5 linked regions of the Macaca fascicularis genome follow. The main gene of each other region encodes a partner of the protein of the gene in region 3 in a complex. Links are inferred from orthologs where the notes say so. Each region holds a gene or a part of one and is shown on either strand. Other genes may lie near its edges.

Region 1 (4,442 bases), on a different chromosome or scaffold from region 3:
GCAAGGGAATGAATTTCTCCACTCTCCCAGTTATGTCCTACTCCTTCCAGTTATGAAGATAAACAGGAATAATCATAGACCAGATTGTTTTTAAAACAGAAAAGGAAAAACGCAGCAACCAATCTCTTTCAGGTGCTTTGGAAAAATTGATCACCCTCAGATTACCCTTAATATTTTAAGAAATTCAGACTCTCCTGATAGTCTGATGAAATGTAATCAATTGTTCAACAAATGTATAATGAATATTTGCTGGGTGCAATGGCTCACACCTGTAATCCTAGCACTTTGGGAGGCTGAGGTTGGAGGATCGCCTGAGGTCAGGAGTTCGAGACCAGCCTGGCCATAGTGGTGAATGCTGTCTCTACTAAAAATACAAAATTATCCAGGTATGGTGGCACATGCCTGTAATCCCAGCTACCAGGAAGGCTGAGGCAGAAGAATCACTTGAACCCGGGAGGCAGAGGTTGCAGTGAGCTGAGATTGTGCCATTGCACTCCAGCCTGGGCAACAAGAGTGAAACTTCATCTCAAACAAACAAACAAACAAAAATACCTGTTGTAGGTCAGGCACCATGATAGGTACTGGGAATACAAAACTATTGTGGCTTGAATGTCTGTGTCCCCAAAAATCTGTATGTTGAAATCCTAACTCCCAATGTGATGGTATTAGGAGCCTTTGGGAAGTGATTAGATCATTAGTGTGGAGCCCTCATGCATGGGATTAATGCCCTTATAAAAAGAGACGGGAGAGCTTGCTCTCACTCTCTGCCATCTGAGAATAAAACTAGAAGACAGCCACCTGCACACCAGGCAGAGGGTCCTCACCAGACACCAGAAATGCCAATGCCTTGATTTTGGACTTTCCAGCCTCCAGAATGATGAGAAATAAATGTGTACTGTTTTTAAGCCACCCAGTGTTGGTAATTTGCTATAGCAGCCCAAACTAAAACAAAAACAGTCTCTGCCTTCATGGAGCTTACAGATGAGAAGGGAAGATAAATATTTAAATCAATAAATATGAAATTGAAGTTAAAATAAGTACTATGAGACCAGAGGAGAGGAGGAGCTGATCAAGTCAGGAAAGTAAAAAAAAAAAAAAAAGCTTCTCTGGGGGTGACATTTGAGCTAAGCTCACATTTACCCAAAAAGAAAAAAAAAAAAAAACAGTAAAATTAACATGACAAAGAAGAGAAGGAAGAGTCTTCTAGGTATGAGGAAAGGCCCTGATATAAGAATGAGCATGGCAATTATAGGGGATAGAATGCCACTGTGTCTAAACCTGTCCCTGGACAAATGCACCTAGCATTTTGCATAAAAGTTCAGAGACACTGACATCTGGGGGTCCGTCCATAACCCCCAATTTTTATTCTATGGAAAAATTCAGTGTCTCTGAAATTTTATGCATAACCATGCGCATATGCCATATGACAGTGGTGGGAAGGCAAAATGGTGTAACTCCTATGGAGGAGAATTTGACAACATCTAGAAAATCACATATGCATTCACCCTTTGACTCATCAATCTTGCTTCTTGGATCCTATCTCAAAGATATAGTTGCAAAAATATGAAATGGCATATGCACACAGGTATTTGCAGCATTATTTACAATAGTCACACTGAAGCACCATCTAAATGTTCATCAAATTGGGGATTAATAAGAGCAACACAATGGATTATTATGCAGATGTACAAGAGAATGAAGAAACTAAAGAGTGATCTCTAAGACACAAAATAAAGAAAACAAGGTGCTGAAATTGTATATGATCCGTCATCTTTTGCATTAGCAACAGCAGTGAGGAAAGGAATATGTGTATATATAAACATAGTCATAAAAACTCTAAAAACTGAAAGCAAACTGGCACTAATGAACCTAATTCCAAATCAGGTTGATATTGGTGTCTTAACCACACAGAGAAAAGAATTATTACAAATGACTTTGGAACACAGTATCTTCACTGTATTTCTTCAGTAGGATGTATCTGAAAGACCAAAACGCTACAAAGACATGTCAAAGTCATTTGAAGTAAAAAAAAAAAAAAAAAGGGAACAGACTCCTATTACTGCTCCAGAAAGATAAAATGTGGGAAGGTAGGAAGGGGGCCATTATCCCCAAAGAGAAAACTTCTGGCCTACCAGTGGGGCCAAGTCAGGGGAGGCTCTGTCTCGGATTTCTGGGCATATCAGTGGGACCCAGGCAAGGCCTGCCAACTCCCTTAGCATATTCCTGTCCGTGAAACGAGGATAATACCCATCTCTCCTGTGGTAACCAATGTTATTTTTCATATACACCAATAGGCATCTTGGCTCAACATAAGAAAGCCGTTTCCCACAGAAACAGCTGCCTACAGCCTGAAGAAGGTGCCACAGAGATGGAAGGAGGTTCCTTACCCACACCTGGGAGACAGCCAGCCGACTGGGCAGGGGCACCCGGGCAGGGGTGCCAGACTTCTCAACTAAAAACCCAGCTCGCCCAGGTGACTCTGAATTTCAGATAAACAACGAATAACTTTGCGTGATACTATATTTGTACTGAAAAGTAACTCGTTTATCTGAAATTCAGTTACCTGCGCATGCAGTACAGTATTGCATCTGGCAACCTCCCGGGGCGCTCGATGTGGTTTTCCCACCCGGGAGTCTGGAAGAGTCTCCCGCAGCCCGCAGGAGACAGAGACGCAGCGCTCCCTGCTCAGGACGAGCAGGAGAAGGAGAGCCGGCTGCTCTCGGGAGCCCCAGGCGCGAAGCGGCCTCCTTCCGCCTCAGGTGAGTCCTGCTCGACGCCCAAGGCCCAACGGTCAGAACCGCCTCTGCCCGCCGGACCCAGCGAAGCTAGAGGAACTAATCTCAAAAACAGTTCGGGCCTTCCCGGTGCGCACACCCGACACACGCGCACGCTAGCCACCCGGGAGCCGCGTCCCGTTGCCAGGCAACGAGAGCGCGCGCCTCAGGAGCCCGTGTAGGTGAGCAGAGGGCGCGCAGTGGGCGGTGGAGGGGGAACGCGCAGCAGAAAGGGGGGGCCGTGGGGGGTCGCGCTGCAGGGAGGAGGGGGCGTGCAGGAGCAGTAGCGCACCGCTGAGTAGAGGGGCCGCGGCCGAATGGAGGGGGCGTGCAGGGGTAGGAGCGCGCGGCAGAGTAGAGGGGGCGCGGCAGAGTGGAGCGGACACGGTAGAGAGGAGGAGGCGTGCAGGAGCGGGGCGCGCGACATAGAGAAGGGGTCGTGCAGAAGGGGGCGCGCGCAAGGGGAGGGGGCCAGAGAGGAGCGGGCGTTCAGGGGGCGGGCGTGCGGCAGAGAGGAGGTGGTGTGCAGGAGGGAGAGCGCGCACGAGGTGGCGGAGAGGGAATGCGAGAAGGGGAGCGCGGCAGAGAGAAGCGGGCGCGCTCCAAGGGGCGGGGGCCGGGAAGGAGGGGGCGCGTAGGAGCGGGGCGCCAAGCAGAGAGGAGCGGGCACGCTGGAGCGGGGTGTGCGCACGAAGGGTCGAGGAAAGGCATATGTGGCGGCGCGCAGGTGGGTGAGCTGAGGAGACTTGCTGCACAGAAACCTGGAGGAGTGGGGGGACCGAAAAGAGCAAGGGACCCTGGCTGGCAGGCAGGCATGCTCTGGGAGAGATGAGGGGGTGGCGCGCTTTGAGGAGGAACCAGGAAGGGCAGCCAATCGGAGAAGGGCGGAAGACCTAGAGTCGTTGGAAGACCGTCACTGCAAGCTGCTAATAGCCTGGCAGTTTCACAACTCCGCACCTTTGCTCTTGCTGGTGACCTCTGCTTGGTTCCTTTCAGAACCAACTCGGGTGCCTTACCTCCAGGAAGCCGTCCGGTCTCCACCAGGCCCAAGCCCTTGCAGTCCTCCTCGGCCTAGTCGTCTGTGCATGTACTAGCCTTTCCCGTGTTCTCTTTCAGCTTATGGGCGGGGCAGTGCCGGGCAAGAGAGGCCTTAGTAGATGTTAGTTGAGATAGTAAGTGCCAGAGTGGGCAAGGAAAAATCAAAGGGAAGCATGAGCACAGGCGTCAGAGCTCTCAATGAATAAATCAAGAAATATTTACTGAGCTCCTAGTGTGCCAAGCATGGGCGGTATACAGCAAACAAAGACAACCCCTATTCTTATTTTGCCTATTGAGTGCAGGCCAGGAACAATGTAAGCAGACCGTCAGGCGAGTTCTGGGAAACACCGAAAAATAGCCTCTCCCCCAATTGGTGAGTGTACCCTAAATTGGTCTGAGTGGGCCTTAAAAGGCATCTCCTTGGCCAGGCGCGGTGGCTCACGCCTGTAATCCTAGCACTTTGGGAGGCCGAGGTGGGTGGATCACCTGAGGTCAGGAATTGGAGAGCAGCCTGGCCAACATGAAGAAACCCTGTCTCTACTAAAAATACAAAAAGCCGGGCGTAATCCCAGCTCCTCGGGAGGCTGAGACAGCGGAATCGCTTGAACCAAGGAGGCAGAGATTGCAGAG
Region 2 (4,434 bases), on a different chromosome or scaffold from region 3:
GAGAGCTTCTGGGTAGCTGAACACATGAAGGCTTTTGGAGGGTGATGCACCCAGGAAGGACATGGAGCACTGCACCTATTCCCCCAGACTTTGCCCTATGCATCTCTTCATCTGTGTCCTTTGCCCTTGCAATAAACTGATAAAAAGTCACTCCAGAAAATTAATTAAATCCAAAGAAGAGGTCATGGGAACCAGCTTCATGTTGAAGCTGATGTGTCAGAAGTTCCGGAGGTTTGGACTTGCAACTGGTGTCTGCGGACGGTGTGGGGGTCACTCTTGGGAACTGAGCCCTCAATCTGTGGGATCTGATGCTATCCCCAGGTAGATAGTGTCGGAATCGAATTAGAGATCACCCAGCTGGTATCTACTACTTGGTGTATGGGGAGAAACCCCACATCCTGGGCCCCGGAAGTCTTAGGTTGATTATTGCTGTGGTGGCTAGGGCAAGAGCTGAAGAAAAACCCAATCTGAGAGGAGAGTTTTCCTAAAACATTTCCACAGCCTGATGTTTGTACCTCAATTATGGTCCATTTTGCTGCTACCTGTATCAAAGTAAATTATCTCTGTATTATCCACATATTATATATTATCAGCCCTGCTAGGTGGCTCTGTATCTCCACAGTATCTGGAACCAACTATGGGCTTGATAATACCAGTTACTATCATAATGAAGAAGTTAGTAGCTGAGCCTACTAGAAAACAGGCATCCTGACCCCCAGGACAGTGCCCTCTTCCCTGCACCACCCTATGACCCAGTGAGTTACCAGGTAGAGGTTCTTCAGCTTAGGAAGATTGATCCCCACCGTGCTTCCCAGCTGATTCCCCCGAAGCTCCACTGTGTGCAGGCTGATCAGCTTCTGGGGGTCCAGACCTGTCACCATGTGGATTCTGTTTCCTGGGGAGGAGGGTTTCAAGAGCTCAAAGGGCCACTCCAAATGTTCAGCATTAGAGCCTGAATTTGGGAAGCCTCTAAATCACCCTATCCTGGACATTCACAAAGCAGGGTAGTAGTGAGGAAGGACAGCTCCAGACTTAATACCTCCAGAGCCCTGGGGCAAGTGGTGTGGTAGTCCAAGGTCCTGATGGACATATCCACCTAAGCCTTTGAAGAGTGAACGAAGCAGCTGACATGTCTAATTCCCTCTCCTTCTTCAACTCTTTGCTCAAATGTCATCTTCTCAGTGATGGTTGTCCTAACCAATCCATTTAACATTGCCACCTATGTCCCCCATTCCTCTTACTCTGATCTATTTCTTCCAAGGCACTTGTCTCCTTTTAACATGCTACATGAATTTACGTATTGTGTTTGTTTTACTTGTACGTCTCTCCCAACTAGAAATATAAGCTATATGAGAATAGGGACATTTCTTGTCTTATTCGCTCCTATATGGTTAACATGTAGAACTGTCATAATGAATCACATTGCGTATCTGAATGAATGAATGCAGACTGCCATGTGCCATAGCCAAGGACCATACTGCCCACTTCTGTTGGCCTCAGGCTAGGAAGGAAAGAATCTTGTGTAGCCCATCCTAAGACCCACCTTGGCCGGGCGCAGTGGCTCAAGCCTGTAATCCCAGCACTTTGGGAGGCCGAGATGGGCGGATCACGAGGTCAGGAGATTGAGACCATCCTGGCTAACACGGTGAAACCCTGTCTCTACTAAAAAATACAAAAAAACTAGCCGGACGAGGTGGCAGGCGCCTGTAGTCCCAGCTACTCGGGAGGCTGAAGCAGGAGAATGGTGTGAACCCGGGAGGCGGAGCTTGCAGTGAGCCGAGATCCGGCCACCGCACTCCAGCCTGGGCGACAGAGCGAGACTCCGTCTCAAAAAAAAAAAAAAAAGACCCACCTTTGAGATTCAGGGTTTCAAGACGAGGATGAGAGATGCCTTCAGTGTCAGTAATCTGGTTATAAGCAAAACTAGCAATCTGCAGGTAGGGCAGTTCATTCAGCTGGGCACTTCGCAGCCGGTTGCCATCAGCCTTGAGCCAGAGCAGGTGGGTGAGGTAGTTGAGTGGCGACAGGTCTGTCAGGTGATTCTCAGAAACATCCACATAGCGCAGATGGATGTAGGAGCGCAGCAAGTAGATGTCTGTCAGGTCCCTAGGAGATGGAAGAGGGAGAAGGAACCAGGTTTAGGGTTAAGAACCCAGCGAGGACTGGCAGAGTTGCTAAAGCAGAAGGCTTATAATGAGGAGAAGAATGGGCAACAGATGGTAGGCGAGAAGAAGGGTAAGAGAAGGTAGGTGGGTTCTTAACAGTGGGCAGAAAGACCTGTGTCTGTGAAGGACAGAGAACCCATACTCTGAAAGACAAATGAGGGAATCCAGCAGGAATCCCCCCATATACTCTCAGTCTCCAATTCCCCAGGTCAGCTTTGATAGAAGTCTCAGCGCTCCTGAAAAGTAAATTTTGTCCTTCCCTTTCCACTAGGCATGAGAAGGGTCAAACTCTCAGCCAGAACACCCAGGAATGACAGTGGGAAAGGAGACAGGGGCCCTACAATCTCACAGTCCTCATCTGGTCCCCCCACAACGCACCTCTCTTTAACCTCCAGCTTGACATAAGCATGAGCCAGCCCACTGCCTGTCTTACAGAGCAGAGAAAGCCCTTCCTTCATCATGTCCTCCGTGAGGGGCGTGGGCAGCCACTGCAGGTGGAAGTGGAATAAGGCGTCCCTCCCCTGCCCAACCCCGCCCCTCAGCCCTAGGACCCCTCTTTGTCCAGGCTCTCACTTCCTCAGGGAACTCTTCCCCCTCTTTTCTGTAGTCCTCCCCCTCCTCTGTCTCCTTCTCGTCCTCTTCTTTCTCAAAATCATCCTGGTCTGGCTCAAAGTCTTCTAGATCATCTTCATCTGACATCTTTCTTCCCTCCTGAAAGCTCTGAAGTCAGATAAGCTCAGTCCTCCTCCTGAGAAAGAAGGTCTCCTCAGCTTCTGCCAGCCTTCAGCTCCTTCATCGTCATTGACACGTGCCACTCCCATCACCCGCATCACTTCTGACCCACCAACTCTAGGCTTCTTTCCTCATCCCTGTGAACATCTCATTTTGACTCTCAACCCCCACTTCACACTTTCCACTGAGGACCCCCTCCCTTCAGGATGTCACCCACACCCCCAGGCCTTTCCTGTCCTTCGCAGTGGCTTCAGCTCTCCTCCAGCAGCCCAGTGTCCCTATTTCCTGGGCTTCCCTCTCCCCCATTCTTCCCACCTCCCCCTTAAGCCATGCTCTCCACTCTTCCCTACCAAGTCCTCCTCCTCCTCCTCTCCTCTTAGCTCCCACTGCGCCATCCCTAATCCCCGCTCCATTCATTTCTTCTACTTTTCCCTCCCCACTGGACCAATTTCCTTGGGCCCTCTGGTACACCAGCCTAAAGCGCAGTCTCCAGTCCTCCCACTCAATTCGCCTTAGCAAAGGGGCTCAGACCCTGTTTCTGCTAAATCAGAAGCAGTTCTGGAGAGGCCCTTGGTCCCGAGAGGGAAGGACTGTTTAGCAAGCGGGCGAGGGGAAGGAGGGGTTGTGTACTGCTGTTATGGCAACGGGGGCGGGGCACTTGGCTACTGAAACTCGCCACCGTTGAGCGCAGAGCGGCGACTACCTGATGCGCAAATCAGCTGGGGAGGGGATTGATCAGTAGTTGCCTGGTTACCAGGCCAATTTCCCAGTCCCGGGAACCCGGATGAGGCGCGGAAAGGGCGTCGGGCCGCTAATTGGTTGAGGACAAAAAAAAAAAAAAAAATGGCCAGGGCTGAGAAGAGAGAAGAGAGAGGGCGGGGCTAGTCATTACGTCACCCAAGACCTTAAAGGGACCCCCGACATCTTCAATGCAAAAGTATTGTGAATTCAGGAAAAACTCACCCTTCGAAGCAAAAAGGGCGGGGCTGCGAGGAAAAGCAAGAAACACCAAGATAAGGGGTCTTTTCCCCTTCCCCCTGTAGTTTCTGCTCATTAGTTATTTTCAGGTAGACCTTTGAAAGGTGGCTTGGTAGAGCGGAAGGAGCCCAGACACAGGTATCTTAAGAACTGGGTTGGAGTCTTGGCAGATCTGCATTTACTAGCTAAACGTACCCAAGACTCTTTCTTATCTGTAGATCAGCTTAACTATATCAACTGGCAGGGATCCAGTATGAGTTATCCTGGACTGGTTTGATGCAAACCTTTTAGTGGGTGGAAGGCAGAAAATTCAACATCTGCCCACTGAAATACTCCTGATCCAACGTTGTTATATCAGTAATCAACAGGAACTGGCATAGCCAAAAACCCAGGCACTCAGGCCTGTCTGACGTGTTGAAGAAGTTGAAAAAGATGTTGAGATGCAATAAATATTTCTGAAGAGTTTGTGCGAGACATTATGTCAAACGTCTTTACAACTGGTATTTAATCTCTGCAACAGTCCTGTAAGACAGACATTTGAAAGAAGAGGATACTGAGG
Region 3 (3,720 bases):
TAGATAGATAGACAGATTTCACAGAGTTCCAGATTAACAAAGTGACATAAAAATGTCTCCAATAATTAAATGTATTTGCCTTTGTCTATCTTGATAATACCCCTGAGACACTCCCCTGGTGCCATCTGCACCTGTCCTTGCTACTGGAGGGTACCGGGCCTGCCAACATCCAGGCCTTGGCACAAGTAGCCCAGGGCTGACAGGAAGCACCTCCATTGCCTTTGAGCAGTTACACAACAAAACTCTTGCTCATTCTACAGCCGCACCACACCCGCCTCCCTGAGCGCACGGAGCTTCCCACTGGGGCCATCCGCCGAGCTGGTGAGCTGTGCTGCACTCAGATGTGACATGGCAGAGGAAGGGAAAGAACAACACGGTCTGTGATATACAGATGAATACATCTAGTCATATAATTTAGAATGAAAATTTCAGAAAATTACTAACAACACAATTGTCTTTTCATCAAGTCAAAACCAACTACAATTCCGCAATGTACCTCTTGGGGGACACACAGAAGTGTGCGTTTCACAGGCCAGGGAGCGAGAAGCAGGAGCTTCAGAAACGTCGTTGCTTCAGGCCACCAGGCAGGGGGACAGGATGCGGGAGGAGGACACGGGTGGTTGGAAGTGGGTGCGTTAGCGACCACGTTGGGTAGGTTTGCGGGTGTTTACCACCACCCATTTCAAGGAATTGGTTTTAATGAAAATGGAATGAAAGAGCTCTGGGCATGGACCAAAGCTGAGTGAGGGCTGTGAAGCAAGCACATGGGCGTCCAGTTATACACGCTGCGCCACAGACTGAAGGGAGTGGGTAAAATCAAATTGTTAATCTATGTAGTCAAAGGAGCTGGTTCTCCTTGCTCTGCCTCCTTTCTTCGTAAGCCACATGGCTGATGCCCGGTTACTCTTCCTTCACCCAACCAACATGTCTCACAGCAAGACTTTAGCTGAGAAGACTGACTCTGGGTTTGCAAAGGAAGTCCTGCCAACATCATCCCAGCTCCCTTCTCGCCCCGACCTCCCAGGCTCGCCTCGTCACCTGGAGGATATGTCTTACTCCTAAGTCGCTTGGCTTATACTCGAACATCAGCAAAGTTGCACTGTATCTATTAGTTATTAATAATAGACTTCTAAGGCCGCCGTGGTGGCTCATACCTGTAATCCTAACACTTTGGGAGGCCGAGGTGGGCAGATCACCTGAGGTCGGGAGTTCGAGACCAGCCTGACCAACATGGAGAAACCCCGTCTCTACTGAAAATACAAAATTAGCCAGGCATGGTGGCATGCGTCTGTACTCCCAGCTATTCGGGAGGCTGAGGCAGGGGAATTGCTTGAACCTGGGAGGCGGAGGTTGTGGTAAGCTGAGATTGCGCCATTGCACTCCAGCCTGGGCAACAAGAGCAAAACTCCACCTCAAAATAATAATAATAATAATAATAGATTTCTACTAAAGTAGAAAATAATTATATGCCTCTTTCCACAGATGAGGAAAACAGTTATCAGTTTACAAAATGATTTGTAGTTTTAAAAAGTCATTGATGCATTTTCTTCTAAAACCTAAATATAGTTTAATAGTATCCATATCTTTCATCTACTGTTAACCTTTAAATTGAGGCATTCATAAGTAATTTCTGTAAATTAAAATAACTATAAGCCCAAAAATATTAATATAATAGGCCTGGAGCAGGGTGAAATGCTTTTCTAAGACAAAGTTACTAAAGTGTTTCCTTTAGTTACGGAAACCGAAAGGATTTTTAAGCTGGGACCATGCTGACACAGAATGACTGACATGCGTTTATAGGTACATACCCCACCAAGCATGCTGCACCCAAGTGCTAAAAAGTTTATCCACTTGATTCTGTTTTCACAAGGATCCAGTTGTAAGAGCGCTTTGAATTTTTCCTTCGGCAGGCACAAGTTCTTCCACTTCTGCTCCAGATCTGTTAATTCCACATACTGCTTGTGGTGACACTGTTTAGAAAACACAGTATGACAATTTACGTACGTTTTAAAACCTGGGAAACACTAGAATGCTGTGAAAATTCAACATACACCGAGTAACCCACCCCACGCAGGGGACAGATGAACTCCAAATGCATGACAGTGGGTTCTGTCAGCCCTGGGGAGGGGAGGCAGGGAAGCCAGTAAGCGGCAACCTTTTATTTCTTAAATGAAAAAAGGACGGTGAAGCGAATACAGCATCATGTTCTGACTTAATGAAACAGGCATACTGATATTGAGTACTGTCTGAAATGCTTCACAATAAAAAATAAACCTCAGTAAAAAACATTTTAAAAATCCAGCCCCTAAACACATTAACAGTTAGGAGAAATCTTAAAACTGAAAATAAATGTATTCCTTCCACTATATATTTATTTATTTATTTATTTTTGAGATAGTCTCACTCTGTTGCCGAGGCTGGAGTGCAGTGGCATGATCTTGGCTCACTGCAACCTCCACCTCCTAGGGTTAAATAATTCTCCCGCCTCAGCCTCCCAAGTAGCTGGGATTACAGGTGCACAGCACCACACCCTGTTAAGTTTTGTATTTTTATTGGAGACAAAGTTTCACCTTGTTGGCCAGGCTGGTCTTCAACTCCTGACCTCAAGTGACCCGCCTGCCTCAGCCTCCCAAAGTACTGGGATTAAAGGCATGAGCCACCATGCCCGGCCTTCCTTCTACTATTTTAAACAATCTATCAAAACTGGTAACTTCTGCAATCTGCTAGCAGTATCTTGGATGAAAAGGCTTTGAGCAATTTCAACATGTCTTTTCCCAAGCTACACCATTCAAGAGTTCTTCATTTCCCTTAAGGTAGCCATGGAAAAGTCCTAGTTTCAGAATTCACTGTACCCTATGCAGAAGTACAGCACTTCACAATGTAGAACGGGGTAAGTCAGTTTGAAAATCAAGGTTATGCCACTGGTGTCTCTGTTAGCAAAAGAACCGAGTCATGAGGAATGCCTAGCCTTGCTCCATTACCCACTTTCTAGTAACTCATGTCTCTAAAAACAGGATGGCATGTGGGGCGAAGAAGTGCAAGGCAGGAAGGGGGCCCAGGCTCTCCACAGAACTGGACACCAGAGGCTGCTGCCCACCTTGGGCGCCAAAGTCCAGCCCCGCCTTCAGACAGAGAAGGCAGAGGCTTACTCAGGCCCGCACACAGCTTTCACAAATGCACACCTGGAGAACAGACTGGAAACCCCCCAGGTTCTGGAATTTTGTATTTTTCGCCCAGCAGAATCTAGTGTCATGTACATTTTGTATTTAAAAGAAATTATATTTCACTTTTGTAAAATCTACCCCTGGATAGTTACTTGGGGCTATTGAAGCTAGAAAAAGACCTCCCAAACACAACATATTTCTTCCTTGAATCAACCTTGACGATGCGTGGCAGGAAAAGCAGGACTTCAGGGACCTTGGGAGGTTTGAAATACATCGCCGGGGTGGGCCTCGCTCTGTCATCAATGCACAGTGAATGGTAAGGAAAGCACAGGCCAGTTGCCTGAGGCCACAGAACCCCCCATACCTGCTTGTGCAAAATTTTCAGGAGTCCTGGAGTCAGGCCTGTGTCTGTTTTCTGGGTTGCCGTGGGCATTTCCATTCTGTCCTTTACAGGAAGTGGATCTCCTCTTGACAAAGCTGAAAAATATCTAATAAATAACAGACATCTCTGAAAGCTCATCAATACACAAAAAGCAGCTATGCGATGCAATTTCTT
Region 4 (2,455 bases), on a different chromosome or scaffold from region 3:
ATCCAGGCGGTGAGGATGAGCAGAGGGGACCAAGTGGATGGTGATTTGGAGGGTGGAATCCACAGGGCTTAGCGACTGATGGCAGGTGGTTGCGGGAGGGGAGGCCAAGTCTAGGCCAGGGCAGGTGGGGCTCATGCCGATCCCCTCCCCGCTGCTCCTGCGCTTTGCCCACTCACCTTGCCCAGAGGGATGGGGTTCACGAAGAAGAGGTTGTCATTCTCCCTGCGGAAGCGAGGGTGTAGCTTCTCCTTTACGATGAAAATGATGTCTGCTGGGATGATGTTGGGGCCCTGGGCAGGGGACGCCAAAGGGTGACAAGGACTAGTTGGCCGTGTGACTTTGGCCAAGTTCCTGCCTCTACTTGTCTCCATGTCTTCATCTGTACAATGGGGAGATGAGAGCAGGTTTTCTGGAAGGGCCTTTTCAGTTTGGCCCCCATAGCCCAGATAGATTAGAAGCCTGAGAAGCTTACCCAGATGAATCCCCCCAGAATTACTTCTGTACTGAGCATGCCCAAAATAGACCACTCAGCTGGAGGCTCGGAGAGGTTTCCTCAGACGGCAGGTAGAACACTGAGCTGGGCGTCAGGCAACCGACCATATGTCTCTGTCTTGCTAGTAACTCCAGGCATGACACCCCTGTCATTAAGTCACCACAAGTCTGCTGAGGTCTCTTCTGGGCATTGGGGACAGAGGAATCAGACTGGTCCCTCACCCCAAGGAGCTCCCAGTCTCGTGGCCGGGAGGGAGAGGAACTGACGGTGAATCCTCAGCAAGCTCGAGACATGATAAAGGGAGGCCCAGATCCTGGAGCTCAGAGAAGGCTGCCCAGAGCAGGAAACACGAGCTGGGTTTTGAAGCATGTTTCTTCAAAGTAGATGTTTTATTTATTGTTTGTTTGTTTGTTTGTTTTTTGTTTTTTTTTAGACAGGGTCTCTCTCTGTTGCCCAGGCTGAAGTGCAGTGGCATGATCATAGCTCACCACAGCCTTGACCTACCTCCTGGGCTCAAGAGATCCTCCGGCCTCAGTCTCCTGAGTATCTGGGACCACAGGCACACACTGCCATGCCCAGCTAACTTTTTTGTTTTTAGTAGAGACAAGGTCTCACTATGTTGCCCAGGCTGGTCTCAAACTTCTGAGCTCAAGTGATTCTCTTGCCTTGGCATCCCAAAGTGCTGGGGCTGTAGGTGTAAGCCACCAAGCCAGACCGGAGGTAGATGTTTCATAGGTGAGAAAGGGGGTAAAAAGTGCAGGCAAAGGAATGTATCTTTCCTGGCTCTGAATGCTCCATCATTCTGCCTCTTCTCAGGACTTAAGGACTCAGCATGCCTTGGACAATAATTTTATGTTTTTATTTAAATAGTATTTAATTTAAAAGTATTACTAATAGGCCAGGCATGGTGGCTCACATCTGTAATCCCAGGCACTGTGGGAGGTCGAGGCAGGCAGATCACCTGAGGTCAGGAGTTCGAGGTCAGTCTGGCCAACATGGAGAAATCCTATCTCTATAAAAATACAAAAATTAGCTAGGTGGCCAGGTGCAGTGGCTCACGCCTGTAATCCCAAGCACTTTGGGAGGCCAAGACAGGTGGATCACCTGAGGTCAGGAGTTCGAGACCAGCCTGGCCAACATGGTGAAACCCTGTCTCTACTAAAAATACAAAAATTAGCTGGGTGTGGTGGTGCATGCCTGTGATCCCAGCTACTGGGGAGGCTGAGGCAGCAGAATAACTTGAACCCAGGAGGCGGAGTTTGCAGTGAGCCAAGACTGCGCCACTGCCTTCCAGCCTGGGTAACAGAGTGAGACTCTGTCTCAATTAAAAAAAAAAAAAATTAGCTGTGCGTGGTGGCACGTGCCTGTAGTCACAGCTACTCAGGAGGCTGGGGCAGGAGAATCGCTTGAATCCAGGAGGTGGGGGTTGCAATGAGCTGAAATTGTGCCACCTCCCTCCAGCCTGGGCAACAAAGTGAGACTCTCGTCTCAAAATAAAATAAAATAAAATAAATAAATAAAATTATTATGATTAAATGATTTCTGAGTAGCTCCTGTAGTTGGGCTTTATTCCGAGAAGCACTGGAGAAAATCAGGAAAACACTGGAGTTCAGACTGGGATCTCCTTTCAGCTCTCATGTTCTTGCCTTAGGCAAGTCCCATTCTTCTCTGGGTCCCCGTTTCCCACTCTGTAAAATGGGGACAGTCCCTGGGCTGCCCATTCACAGAAGCATTATAAGGCTCTGTTCCTTGGAAGGAACATTAGGGATCCCGTCTCACCCACTCTGCAGACTGGGCTGTCTACAGACCAAGGCTCACAGGGTCAGGAAAAAGTATTGCCTCTTTTCCCTTCCCTTCCTCCTCAGTCTTCCCACCGCCTGAGTCCAGTGACTGACCTGAGTCAGCTTCTTCCACCCTTACCTGGTCCCCTTCCTTCTCAAAGGTGATGCGTGTGCCCTGCCT
Region 5 (3,720 bases), about 130 Mb from region 3:
ACCAAGTTTCTGAAGCCTGCGGAAACACGGAATTTTGGAAAGGGCTTTAAGAGGTGGGTCACTTGGTAAAATTCACACTTACTCTCAGGAAAATCTAAGACATTTTAGAAAGACAGATTTCTGCCATAATCATGGGGATTTTTAGCCTTCCCTCAGTGACATACCTCCATGTCTCATCATCCTTACTCCAGGCAGAGGTTCTTTGATTTCTACTTTGAATCCCTCTGTTATATTTTGAGCATTTTCCCTCCTGACCCACCTTTAGTGGAATTGAAAAAACAGTAGTAATACATTTTTTTTTCTTTTGAGACCAAGTCTCACTGTGTTGCCCAGGCTGGAGTGCAATGGCATGATTTCGGTTCACTGCAACCTCTGCCTCCTGGGTTCAAGCAAGTTTCGTGCCTCAGCCTTCCGATTAGCTGAGACTACAGGTGTGCACCACCAATTTTTGTGTTTTTTGTAGAGATAGGGTTTCGCCATGTTGCCCAGACTGGTGTTGAACTCCTGGGCTCAAGCAATCTGCCTGCCTTGGTCTCCCAGATTGCTGAGATTAGAGGCATGAGCCACTGAGCCCGGCTGGCAATAATAAATAATTTTTAAAAACCTTCAAGGCTGGGCGCAGTGGCTCACGCCTTGAAAAAAAAAATGGCACTCAAAATAGCTGCTTCTAGAGAAAGCATGATACTTTCAAATTAGACTCAGCAACCATGATTTTTTTTTTTTTTTTTTTTTTTTTTTTAGACAGAGTCTCATTCTGTTACCCAGGCTGGCATGCAATGGCGCTATCTCGATCTTGGCTCACCACAACTTCTGCCTCCTGGGTTCAAGCAATTCTCATGCTTCAGCCTTCTGAGTAGCTGGGATTATAGACATGCACCACCACGCCTGGCTAATTTTTGTTTTTGTTTTTGTTTTTTTTTTTTGACGGAGTTTCACTCTTGTTGCCCAGGCTGGAGTGAGGTGGCATGATCTCGGCTCACTGCAACCTCTGCCTCTCGGGTTCCAGTGATTCTCCTGCCTCAGCCTCCCAAGCAGCTGGGATTACAGGTGCCCGCCACCACGCCTGGTTAATTTTTTGTATTTTTTGTATTTTTTTTTTTTTTTTTTAGTAGACACGGGATTTCATCGTGTTGGCCAGGCTGGTCTTGAACTCCCGACCTCAGGTGATCCACCCGCCTCTGCCTCCCAAAGTGCTGGGATTACAGGCGTGAGCCACTGCGTCTGGCCTAATTTTTGTATTTTTAGTAGAGACAGGTTTTCACCATGTTGGCTAGGCTGGTCTCGAACTCCTGACCTCAGGTGATCCACCTGTCTCTTCTTTCTCAAAGTGCTGGGATTACAGGAATGAGCCACCACACCGGCCTGATTTTTCTTTTTTCTTTTTTTTAGGCGGAGTCTCGCTGTGTCACCCAGGCTGGAGTAGAGAGGTGCAATCTTGGCTCACTGCAACCTCTGCCTCCCGGGTTCGAGCTGTTGGCCTGCCTCAGCCTCCCGAGTAGCTAGAACTACAGGCATGTACCACCATGCCCGGCTGATTTTTATTTTTATTTTTTTTTGAGGCAGAGTTTCGCTCTTGTTGCCCAAGCTGGAGTGCAATGACGTGATCTTGGCTCACTACAACCTCCGCCTCCCAGGTTCAAGCTGTTCTCCTGCCTCAGCCTCCCGAGTAGCTGGGATCACAGGCGTGTGCCACCACACCTGGTTAATTTTTTGTATTTTCAGTAGAGATGGCATTTCACCATGTTGGCCAAACTAGTCTCCAACTCCTCACCTCAGGTGATCCACTCACCTCGACTTCCCAAAGTGCTGGGATTACAGGCGTGAGCTACTGCGCCCGGCCTAATTTTTGTATTTTTATTAGAGATGGGGTTTCACTATGTTGGTCAGACTGTTCTTGAACTCCTGACCTCAAGTGATCTGCCTGTCTTGGCCTCCCAGAGTGTTGGGATTACAAGCCTGAGCCACCTCGCCTGGCCTAATTTTTCTTCATGTTACAGTGAATCAAGATATTTATGACAGAACCAGAATAAAGAACACACATGTTCAAATGAAAAACTTTTTTACTGCATCATTATACTACATATTACTTTTTTTGTTAGTTTATTTGATACAGGGTCTGCTTTATCGCCCAGGCTGGAGTGCAATTATGTTATCATGGCTCACTACCTCTAATGTAGTGGGGATTACAGGCACACACCACCATACCCGACTAATTTTAAAATTTTTCATAGAAACAATGTCTCCCTGTGTTGCTTAGGCTGCTCTCTAACTCCTGGCTGGGCTGAAGCGATCCTTCCGCCTTGGCCTCCCAAAATGCTGGGATTACAGGCATGAGCCACTATGCCTAGCTGTTATTTCTAAGTATGAGAAATAACTCATAATTTCTCATACTTAATGAGACCAGCTCCCAAAATAGTAACACAAATAGAGAAACATGAATTTGAAATATTAAGTCCAGTTTTATTAATTGAAGAGTTATTTACTTTAAGAAGGAGATGTGATAAATTTGTTACTAACAAACCATATGCTGAGGGAGGCTGCCTAACTGGAATAATTTTTCTTTGTCGCCCGGACTGGAGTGTAGTGGTGCAGTCTTGGCTCACTGCAACCTCCACCTCCCGGGTTCAGGCAATTCTGCCTCAGCCTTCTGAGTAGCTGGGACTACAGGCACATGCCACCACGCCCAGCCAATTTTTTGAATTTTAGTAGATACAGGATTTCACCATGTTGCCCAGGCTGGTCTCGAACTCCTGAGCTCAGACAATCCGCTGGCCTCGGCCTCCCAAAGTGCTAGGACTACAGGCATGAGCCTCTGCACCTGGCCATAATTTTTCTTAAGTAGGTGAAGTAATTCCTCTTACTATCTTATTTACAACATACATTTAATTATATCCTTTTCTTTCTTCATAATACAAAGATAAACCTCGAAGTTATAATCAGATTGGTACTAGTTTCAAGTTAGTAATGATTTTAATGAGCTATCATTGAACTGTCATTTTAAATGCTTTTGTTGACTTTGTGTCTTTTATAGAGAAGAAAACTACACCTCAGCCCTGAGCAATGTAGTAACTTTTATGTGGAACAGTATGGAAAAATGTTTTTCCCCAATTTAACAGCTTACATGAGTTCTGGACCACTTGTCGCCATGATATTAGCTAGACATAAAGCCATCTCTTATTGGTTAGAACTTTTGGGACCAAATAATAGCTTAGTAGCGAAGGAGACACATCCAGACAGGTAATTTTCAGGGTTGGGGGGATGGCAGGGAATGGAATCCATCTGTGAAAATGAAAAAAAAAAACAAACAAAACTAATTTCATTGTAATGGGAATTTTTGTTTTATTATTTGGAAGTTTTCCAAAATCAGCTTTTTTTTTTTTGGGAGGGGGCGGGGCCTGGGGGTCCATTTTACATTTTAAAGTGTTAAATGCCTATCTTAATACTACATGCCAGAAAAAGCATCAGAGAATGTCTGATTTATAGTTGATTACCCTTATTCTCTCAACCTTTAAACTGCCACTGAAGTAGGATTTTTAGATGGAAAAATTGGGATGGTATGTTAAAATAATAATGGTAATACAGGAACAGAAATTCAAATTTTCAGCATTATTGCTAATGTATGGAAATAAGATATTGAGTTCTTGCACTTTTGAATGTGCATTGCTTTTTTACTTCTTACAAAACAACACCACGTTTTTATCCAGAGAACTCCTGTTTTCC

Evidence for each region.
Region 1: ROPN1L (region 3) and DYDC1 share a complex: the UniProt entries of both Homo sapiens proteins name them as parts of the axonemal radial spoke complex. The link is inferred for Macaca fascicularis from reciprocal best matches to the Homo sapiens genes ROPN1L and DYDC1.
Region 2: ROPN1L (region 3) and LRRC23 share a complex: the UniProt entries of both Homo sapiens proteins name them as parts of the axonemal radial spoke complex. The link is inferred for Macaca fascicularis from reciprocal best matches to the Homo sapiens genes ROPN1L and LRRC23.
Region 4: ROPN1L (region 3) and DNAJB13 share a complex: the UniProt entries of both Homo sapiens proteins name them as parts of the axonemal radial spoke complex. The link is inferred for Macaca fascicularis from reciprocal best matches to the Homo sapiens genes ROPN1L and DNAJB13.
Region 5: ROPN1L (region 3) and NME5 share a complex: the UniProt entries of both Homo sapiens proteins name them as parts of the axonemal radial spoke complex. The link is inferred for Macaca fascicularis from reciprocal best matches to the Homo sapiens genes ROPN1L and NME5.

The regions. Positions count from the first base shown.
Region 1 is NC_088383.1:66,450,146-66,454,587, reverse strand, and holds the start of DYDC1 (DPY30 domain-containing protein 1), read right to left. Parts: upstream 2,901-4,442; 5' UTR 2,564-2,900; intron 1-2,563. UniProt on the Homo sapiens protein: Functions as part of axonemal radial spoke complexes that play an important part in the motility of sperm and cilia. Plays a crucial role during acrosome biogenesis.
Region 2 is NC_088385.1:7,840,695-7,845,128, reverse strand, and holds the start of LRRC23 (leucine-rich repeat-containing protein 23), read right to left. Parts: upstream 3,008-4,434; 5' UTR 2,865-3,007; coding exon 2,739-2,864; intron 2,654-2,738; coding exon 2,544-2,653; intron 2,107-2,543; coding exon 1,853-2,106; intron 896-1,852; coding exon 765-895; intron 1-764. UniProt on the Homo sapiens protein: Essential for sperm motility and male fertility. Plays an important role in the proper assembly of the third radial spoke (RS3) head and the bridge structure between RS2 and RS3 in the sperm flagella.
Region 3 is NC_088380.1:10,821,014-10,824,733, reverse strand, and holds part of ROPN1L (ropporin-1-like protein), read right to left. Parts: intron 3,653-3,720; coding exon 3,529-3,652; intron 1,971-3,528; coding exon 1,809-1,970; intron 1-1,808. UniProt on the Homo sapiens protein: Functions as part of axonemal radial spoke complexes that play an important part in the motility of sperm and cilia. Important for male fertility.
Region 4 is NC_088388.1:72,831,591-72,834,045, reverse strand, and holds part of DNAJB13 (dnaJ homolog subfamily B member 13), read right to left. Parts: coding exon 2,414-2,455; intron 2,075-2,413; coding exon of another isoform or gene 2,060-2,074; exon of another isoform or gene 1,645-2,059; intron 824-1,644; exon of another isoform or gene 473-823; intron 380-472; exon of another isoform or gene 291-379; coding exon 177-290; intron 1-176. UniProt on the Homo sapiens protein: Functions as part of axonemal radial spoke complexes that play an important part in the motility of sperm and cilia.
Region 5 is NC_088380.1:144,617,829-144,621,548, reverse strand, and holds part of NME5 (nucleoside diphosphate kinase homolog 5), read left to right. Parts: intron 1-3,031; coding exon 3,032-3,237; intron 3,238-3,720. UniProt on the Homo sapiens protein: Functions as part of axonemal radial spoke complexes that play an important part in the motility of sperm and cilia. Does not seem to have nucleoside diphosphate kinase (NDPK) activity.